Linked DNA regions of Rattus norvegicus. The protein of the gene in region 1 interacts with the protein of each later gene in a biochemical or structural test. Links are inferred from orthologs where the notes say so. Each region holds a gene or a part of one and is shown in the gene's direction. Other genes may lie near its edges. The genes, in order: Arfip1 and Arf3.

Evidence for each region.
Region 2: the proteins of Arfip1 (region 1) and Arf3 form a complex in vitro, tested with the Homo sapiens proteins (2 studies listed by BioGRID). The link is inferred for Rattus norvegicus from reciprocal best matches to the Homo sapiens genes ARFIP1 and ARF3.

What each region holds. Positions count from the first base shown.
Region 1 is NC_086020.1:172,218,142-172,222,742, reverse strand, and holds the start of Arfip1 (arfaptin-1), read left to right. Parts: upstream 1-1,577; 5' UTR 1,578-1,652; intron 1,653-4,601. UniProt on the Homo sapiens protein: Plays a role in controlling biogenesis of secretory granules at the trans-Golgi network. Mechanistically, binds ARF-GTP at the neck of a growing secretory granule precursor and forms a protective scaffold.
Region 2 is NC_086025.1:131,788,155-131,792,710, reverse strand, and holds the start of Arf3 (ADP-ribosylation factor 3), read left to right. Parts: upstream 1-1,731; 5' UTR 1,732-1,923; exon of another isoform or gene 1,924-2,170; intron 2,171-2,663; exon of another isoform or gene 2,664-2,743; intron 2,744-4,556.

The sequences.
Region 1 (4,601 bases):
AGAGCCATCCTAAAAACTATCAGCAATTCTCAGAGAAAGTATACCACTTAAGGACAAACGACCAATACAAGAAGCCAAGTATTCCTAAATGTAAAGAGACATCATCAGACATCCTTAAGGAGACACCCAGTTTTGATAAATACTAACTGTCCACACCATTCATACACAACTGGGCATTGCTAGACATCTTTTCCAAGTCACCCTTCAGAAGCCCTATAGATGACATTTGCACTTAGCTACAAGTCTTATTCAGTTCTTACAGAATGAGAGCAGGAGTTGCACTAGACAGGGGCCCCTTTCTAATAATAGCGAAGACTAATGGGTTCCAACTCTGGAGGATGGCTTTGAGTGGGAAACTTCACAACATACTGCAGGATAGTTACGGTTTGAGTGAATTGGCACACCGCCCCCCTTTATAGATCAGTTTCAGAACGGGAAGGCCCTTTTACACAAGATTTATGCTTGGGCATGTCAACACTGTTTTTGTAAGAGTTGATGTGCTGGCAATCTAAGACAATACAATACATTTTAGGTTTAAAATGTATGTGGTGCATTTTGTAAATAATTGTATGTAGTGTTACTATTAACCAGTCCGAGGAAGACAGTACAGGGATATTGAACTCAATGGAAATGTGCTCTGGCACATTTCTATATAGCGCCGCTGGGGATATGAAAGACTCTCGCAGGTACCCCAAAGACTGGTAGGAAACGGCCAAGAAGAGCTCTGAGAGAGGGATAGTTGAAATGTTTCTGTGGACAGGGCGACGGCGATCTAATTAAGAGGGGATGAGCAGGAAGGCAGATCTTGGGTGCTGGCAAGAGAAGAGCAGCGAAGAAAAGTACCCTGAGCCACTGTCAGAGAGCAGCGGGGAAGGGGAGCACAGCAACAGTGCTACAACCGCACGCTCACGGATGCCGGTCTTTCTGCACAGATTGGTACGAGTGCGTTGGTCGCGGAGAACTAGAGAGACACCTAGGAAAGCGAGGACCGGGCTTCCGTGCTGTCAGCGGGTGTACATTCATCTTCGCTCCATCCCTTCCGCCTCCCGCCCGGTCTCTCCCGTGGCTGACAAACTTTCGGCTGCGCGGTGGTGAGCTGCGGCCACCTCCACCCTCCAGGCACGGACTATGAGTGTGGGAAAAGGACAGACTGTCTGGCTGGTGGGTTGCACTTTGCAAACTAGTGACTCTGCTCCACGCCGCAACCGGGTTACCCGGGCAACGGCCCGTGCGGATTCCCGGATGTAGTTCACAGGGCTGCGGCCCGGGGCGGAGTCCAGAGGACCCAGCCCCTAGGGAGAGGCGCGCGCACCATAGAGACGTGGCGGGTCCCGGCTTGGCTTCTAGAGAGAGGCTGTCCGGGGCTCAAGACCCCGCACTTCCGGTCTCTCACTTCCGGCTCCGCGGGTAGGGTGCAAGCGCTGGAGGCCGGCTTGAGAGGTCGCCGGTGCAAGTGTCCTCGGCGGTTGGTTGTCCAGAGCCTGTGACAGCCGCAGCTGCTCCCCGCCCCCGAGGCGTGGGGGAGGAGACGAAGGAAAAGCTCCCGGTCGCGCTTCCGGTCCCTCCTGCCTCAGGCCGACGCGATTCCCGAGAGCTGCTGCAACCGGGAGAACCCGCGACGGAGCGCTGCCGGCTTCCCTGCTGACAGACAGGTGAGGGCGGAGCCGCGGCGGAAAGGATGGGGTTGAGGTGGCATGCTCCCGGACGGACGAGTCGCCTACGGCTACTCTCGCCAAACTTGCTCCTGGGCACTTCCATCCCTGGGAGCAGCCAAGTCCGCCCCATTCCTCTGAGTGTATTCTGGAGTGAAATAGGGCAGCACCGGCCCCCGGGGCGGCACCGCTTGACTGTGCTGGCGGTGGGTGGGAAAAGTTGGCAGAGTCCGGGTCTTTCTGGACTCTGTCCAAGTGGGCCGCCTTTCCCTCCGTTCTTCCCTAAGTCTCCTGCTTCCTCTCTCCTGCTGTGAGAGGAAGGGAGGTAGCAATCAGCCCTCGGAGAGGTTGCCTGACACTGGTGCAGAGGGAGGCGCCCCGACTGAAAGGTCCCAAGCCTGAGTGCTAGTGAGGGCGTCCTAGGAATGCTGGAGTTTGGAGAAGGAAATTGTGGCCCTGCCTTCTGGTGCGTTCCTTATTGCCAAGTTAACTACACTTTACGTGTCTAGGAAAGGAGGCGTGTGTGTGTGTGTGTGTGTGTGTGTGTGTGTGTGTGTGTGTGTGTTAATTTAAGTGTTTAGATTCTAGACTTTCTCCCCTGTTATTGCTTCCTTGGCTTTGTTCTTATTTTCCTCTTGAATCCTCTGATCTCAAAAGGTTTATACTTTACACTTCCTGCAGATCCTTTTAATCACCCTGTCAGGATTTCTGTGTGTCCTTCCTGAAGTATACTTACTTGCTTCTTATCTGATCAGGAAAAAAAAAGAATGAAAAAGAATTGCAGGGCTTTTCATCAACGTGTTGCTTTCACAACTGCGAAGGTGTGTTCACATTTGCCATCTGATTAACTTGATTGTTGAAGAAAGGTGCACCAGACTGATGATGGTTGGTCAATTCTCTGGAGGCTGCAGGAATGGCTGTATTTCATTGCTGCTCTTTCAGAGCAAGTATTGCAGCTGTACTCTTTTCTTATATTTGTTCTATTTTTATTTGCTTTTAATTTCCGTTTTTGTTTTCCTTCTTCACTGTGACCAACACTTACTACAAAGTCTAACACTTAGTATATAGGAAAACAGCACATTTCCACTATGATTTTCTGAATTAAAGGCTCTGCCTGAGTTACTTTGTTTCCTGTTTGACAAAATGCTAACTTTTCTTGGATTATGCTTGCCTTAATCCTGGGTTCGGTCTCAGTCTAGGTATCAGTGATTTTTCAGGGGGTTTCTATTCCTACCCCTGAAATTCTGTGCTGTTTGTATATGTGTTCTGGGTAAAGGCAGTCTTTTATCAACTTCTTAAAGGACATGTGTAATGTCCAGCAAGATTAAGTATGTTTTAATGTCTTGTTGAAGCTAATCGAAACAGTTTATTCATGGAGCTGTTGTTTCCCCGAGTTGCACATGGCCTACTTGGGTGCTGTACAGAGTAGAGTGCAGGGATTACAGCCTGGTACTGAAATCTCACTACTTCAAAAAACTGCCATGTTTCTACATTCCTTCCTGGACCTATAGAAGGAACCAAGTCAGTTCCTGATTTGTGGGTTTGAGGTTTCTTTTTAGGGATAGCTGGCTGTGTCCATTGCTTTGTCAATACAGGGGCTTTCTACACTGATGTGCTTATCATTATTTAATGCATACTAACTATCACCAGTCCTCTGGGTACAACTCAGAAGAAAGCATTGGAATGATGGTTGTTCTAGGCTTTCATTATCTTGTTTTTAACTGGAGAGAGATGTCTGCCTTGGGCTTCCCTAAGGAAGGGCAAAGATGTCTTATGTAGTCCACATGGCTTCAGCATTTTTGATACCCCGTTCTCTTCATTCTGTATTATGTATGTTATTTATTGTTTCTTGTAAATGAGGATCTTTCCAAGCTTTATGTAAGTCTTTGGAGCACATTTTACTTACTGGTTTGGCTGTGAAGTGTTTGGAAGTTGAAATTGTAACATTTTGAAGTTCAATTCACACAGTGTTACCTGCGCAGCTTATAGTAAGTTGTCTTCTCTTCAACAATGTCATGATTTTCCCTCAGGGTAGCATCCTCACCTAGTGGAGCAGACAGTGCTAACTAAGCTAGTTGCTTGTGAAATAAAAGCAAATTTAGAAGCTAGATTCTGGATAGCACCGAAGTGACAGGTATATTTAATACATTTATTTGCTATGTCCATGGTGCCAAGTGCTTTTCATGATTAACTCATCCTTCTAGCAACCTTATAAGGATGCTCCCTCCTCCTCATTGTTTAGATCAGTGGTTCTCAACCTGTAGGTCATGACCTCTTTGGGGGGAGGGTCCCAGGAGCCTTTCACAGGGGTGGACTAGGACCTTCGGAGCACAGATATTTAGATGATGATTCATACCAGTAGCAAAATTACAGTTATGAAGTAGCAATGGAAATAAATTTATGGCTTGGTGGGGGTCACTAAAACATGAGGAACTCTGTTAAAAGGTCACAGCTTTAGGAAGGTTGAGAGCTACTGTTGTAGATGAAGTTTACTGAACCTAAATGACCCATAGAGCTAAGATAATTTGCTTAAAATAATTCTGGTGGAGGCAGGGTTGACCTTAGGTGTGTGACTTTAGGTAACTTCTAGGAAACTCCATTGTAAAATCTGTGGAATGACTTGGAGATATCTTCTTTGATTATCTTAGACATGAGGGATCTTTTCCTCTATTACTCCTTGGCGGGTGAACACCTCCTTGAATGTTATATTGTAACATAGATAAACGGCCTATAGATTAGTAGCTGATAGGGCCTCTCTGGAGATGGATACAAGTTTGTTGGATTGTGTGTATTATCACCTGTAAGATTGGAGACTATCTAACCTTGGCCTAGTGAGTTTGGAACCTTGAATTTCAGCATGGTCATTTGGGATAGAGGGAGAACTAAATTTGGCAAAGTACTTAAATTCATATAGCCTTGGGTGGAAGCTGACGCTACTGGTGGATATTG
Region 2 (4,556 bases), on another chromosome or scaffold:
GGTGAATACCTTTAATCTTGGCACTCGGGAGGCAGAGGCAGGCAGGTTGTGAGTTCAATGCCAGTTTGGTCTATAAAGTGAGTTACCAGGCCAGGGGCGGGGTGCATAGTGAGCCTGTTTCAAACACAACAACAACAATAAATATTTTTTTTAAAAGCTGGATGCCTGTGGTGTAATTGCATTCCTAAAGCAAGATGGGGGATGAGGTCAGGAGAATTGTATGGAGCTAGCCCAGAGTGTGCAACAGCAGAAAGGAGAGATCGATCCTGCCCAAACAAGGGAAAAGTCAAGAATTGATTCTTGAAAGATGTCCTCTCTAACCTTCACATCTTGCTAGGGGCGCAAGGGCACCCACAATCTCTCATATAAGCACACGTGTGTGCATGCTCACACACACACACACACGTTAGTAAACGAAAAAAATAAACAAAACCCAGAGCTTAACAAAGGCTTTCAACAGCAGTGAATCCCGAATGGGGACCAATATGGTTTTCTTCGTTATCAACAAGCTCTTTGTTGTCTATGTCTTAGTTCACCTTCTCGTTTTCTTTCTTTCTTTCTTTCTTTCTTTCTTTCTTTCTTTCTTTCTTTCTCTCTTTCTTTCTTTCTTTCTTTCTTTCTTTTTTTTTCGGAGCTGGGGACCGAACCCAGGACCTACTGAGCTAAATCCCCAACCCCTACCTTCTTTTTCTTGACTGTCCTGGAATATGCTCTGTAAATCGGGCTGGCCTTTAATTCACAGAGATCCACCTGCCTCTGCATCCCGAGTCTCCAGTGCTGGGATTAAAGCCCGTGCCAACACCGCCCAGCCAGTCCTGTTATTTTTTTGAGGTAAACAAGAGAAGGCAAACTGGTATAAAGGTATAGCCCAGAGACGGATGTGACAAGGTATAGACACTGAGCGGTCACTTTCCAGCCTATGTTTTGGAAGGAGAGACGAGTCCTAATGTTGCACCAAGCTCTTGTACTTGATGCATTTAAAGAAAGCGGTGTTCAGTGTTTCTAGTGACGACCCATCTAGCACAGATTCTAATGTAACTTGTGGCTAGTCTCAGGCAGTGTCTCCGTCATGTCAAAAGATGAGTGTCAAGAAAGGAAGGCAGGGACCTGGGTCCTCTTTCCTTGGGATACTAAAATCCAGACTCATCTAGAGAGACTTCATGAGAGCTGTCTCTGAGTTTCTGCCCACTGTCTTTCAAGTTCAGCCTCCTAGATGACCCGCATCCTGATGATGGTTTCCTCTACGATCTCGAATGCATCGTTCTTTCTCTTCTTCCTTTATGAGAAAGGATCTCCAAGAAAGTATCCTTAGGGATTAGGGAGTTGAGCGGATTAGCAGGTGGGGTGCGTGCGAAGCGCTGTTTATTAGGAAAAAGTTGGACCAGGATAGGTTACAGCAACCGTTTTCGCTATCCATACCCCACTGAGGCTCTAAGAAACCCCAGAGACTCCATGGCCCGAGCCTTGTGGCCAGGGCAGCCAGAACGTGGCAAGGCCCCGGAGCTAGCTCGGGAGCCTCACCTCTGTGCCCGCAGCCTCCTCTCCACACCGTGCCTCCGGCTCCTCCAGCCCCCACACAGGCCCCCGCCTAGACTCAGCTTCAGCACCGGCTGCTTTTGCTGCAGCCGCTGCCATGGTGATGGGTCTCGCGAGAACTGCCGCTCGCTAGCGCGCACTTCTCGCGCGATCGTGGAGGTGGGAAGTATCCCGGGCTGGGGGTGGGTGTTCGCCGCACAGCTCCTGTCGCCGTCGCGGCTTCCGGTGCTAGGTGGAGGGAGGGCAGGAGGGAGCCGCCGGGAGCGGGCCAGCGGACCAGCTACGCCGCGGTCGGCTTGCGGAGCGGGAGGCAGCGGCCGGAGAGCCAGGCGGAACCTGCGGGGGCGGAGGCGGCGGTGGCAGCCGGGGCGCAGAGAGCAGGAACAGGTTCGGAGCTGGAGAGGGAAGGCGGGTCCGGGCAGGGAAGAGGCTGGGTCAGGGTGGGAGCCCGAGGTCCCTCGTCGCGGTCCGCCTCTCACGGCCTGGCGAGGTGCAGGGGGCGATCCTCGCAGAGCTGGGGACCCCAGTCCCACTCCTGCCCCCGCAGCTGAAGGACGCCGAGCTGGGGTGGGGGCGGGGGGCGCACACGGATTTGTCCTCGGCCTCGCCCGAGGGGGCGACCTGGGCTGCAGAGGTGAGCTTTGGAGGGTTGGGGCGGAGGGGGAACTGACCCACGGTGGGAGGTGACGCGGGGGCGGTGTGTCTGTTAGGATCTTTTTCCTTGTGTTTAAGGGCTGTGAGGAATGCTGCCTTTTCTCTCTCCCTCCCCCGCCTGAGCTGTGGGGGGACCAAAGAAAAGCCTTGCCGTGGTTATTCCCCCTCACCCATCGCGAGGCATGGGGGCCGGGGCTTAGCATCAGGGCCTCCTGAGGGGGCACGGCTGCGCACGGTTTTCACGGAGGTTGCGCTCTGCTTTGGGGTGTTGGGCAGGGCAGGTTGGGAAGAGGGCAGCAGGTGGGGAGAGGGTGGAGAGGAGGCTGGAGAAGGGGGAGGGGGACCCGAGCTAGCTTGGAGGAGAGAGGTGGGGCCTTCCTCCCCCAGGCGTAGCGGGGGCGGTCTCACCGAAGGAGGGAGCATCTTGTCACTGGCCCTGAGTTTGTGTCTTCCAATCCGCTTTCTTTCTCTAGGAAGTACCAGGATTCCCGGAACAGAAAATGAAGCCTTTGCTTACGCCAGTCCTTTGAAGGAAGGAGGGGGAGGTGGGGAGGTAATGTTCCCTGTTAAAAACTCAGGGTCTTTTAATTAAGTCGTAACTCTCTGTTGAGAGACTTGATTCTTTCTGGGGGTTATATTGCCGCTGGTCTCTGGGCCAGGAAGAATGTGGTGGAGGAGTATGTGGTCAGGACTAAGAAGAAAATAGTGAGGTCATTAGGGTGAGGGAGACGGGTAATGTAAAACCTGTCTCTGCCGCTGTTGGATTGGGTCACCCTTGGGTCCATGGCATGAAAGTTTTATTGGGAGGAGATCTGCTGCAGGAGTCTGATTGCTTGAGTCATTGCAACAGGAAAGAATCTAGTCTCTGCATACCTCCATCTCTGTCCCCAGACAGGTAGATAGAAACTGTCTTTGCTGCCATTTTGTCTGAGACCTGTTTGGGGGTGTGCTGCAGTGAGTGGCCAATGGGTTGGTCTTTCGCATATTGGACCAGCACTTGAATACATTGTTAAAGGCTGTTTTAAGAAAGGGCCACTTAGGGGCTGGGGATTTAGCTCAGTGGTAGAGCGCTTACCTAGGAAGCGCAAGGCCCTGGGTTTGGTTCCCAGCTCCGAAAAAAAAAGAACAAAAAAAAAAAAAAAAAAAAAGAAAGGGCCACTTAGGAAAGATCCACTTAGGTTCAGCTTTTTACAGAACGAGTCACTGACCTTGGAGGCAGCTGGAAAAGTGTCACATAATCACTCCTGCACAGTTTTCCTTCCCTTCTTCCTCTCCTTCCTTTCCCCCCTCCCTTACTTCTTTGTTTGAGACAAGGTTTCTCTGTGAAGTTCCCTTGCTCGCCTCAACCGAACAGCTGGTGCCTCTCTGTCTCTTGGGCGCTGAGGTTGACCTGGGAGCCGCCACAGAGCCTCACTTCCTTTTTTTTCAGACAGGCTGGGTTCGAACTTAAGAATCTTGCTTTTATAAGAACAACATGGGATAGCAATGTGTAGAAGTGTGCAAGGTTTCTAGCTACTGCTTAAGGAAGAGGTAAAGAGGGCCAGGTGTGGTGGCAGGCCTATCATCTCAGCGCTAGGAAGATGTAGACAGCAGGTAGAGTTAGGCCCCCCTGGGTTACATAGCAAGACTGTCTCAGACAAAACAAAATAAATAAAATCCAACAAAAACCCCGACACATTGGAGATGGTTGAACAGTTGAGAAATCTTGTTAGAGAGGTTCTCAAACCTTAAGTATGTGTTCATCTAAACCCTCTTCAGCACTTACAATGAGGGGAAATAGAATTAAAGGACAGAGGCATTCTCTGTTGATTAGAAGGAGAGACTTCTTTAAAACCGAGGCTGTAGCTGACAGAAACTGTGGAATCTGCTTCCTCACCTGACTTTGGAAATAGATACCAAGAGGCCTTCCAGCCAGAACACACCAATGTGTTTGGCTAATGGTGCTTTTAGAGGCCAGATGCCACAGTAACTGAAGCTGGGTTGTAGGAGCAGACCAGATGGGGGTGGGCTTACCTCCTGCCCATGCTGTCTTGTTGTATGTATTTGATAAATTTCTTGTTCACACTTAAGTTTCCTTTTTCCTTGTGCATAAAGAGGGCAGCGTCATGGGAGTTAAATGGCAAATGTAAGTTATTGAGTACTGTACAGAGCACACACCTAGTACGTGTTAGCTGCAGTTGTAGCCGTCCTATAGCATGACACCAACACTTGGGGCTGCTGTAAAAGCAAGTTCACAGAAGAGCGGCATGGGCCTGTGTGAAGGGACAGTTGTTACAGCGACTTTCCCCCGTGTCCTTTGAGTGGTAGCACCTTATTCTTGTCTGTGTCAGCTTATAGCTTTAGCTCTTGATGCTTCAACAAGAAGT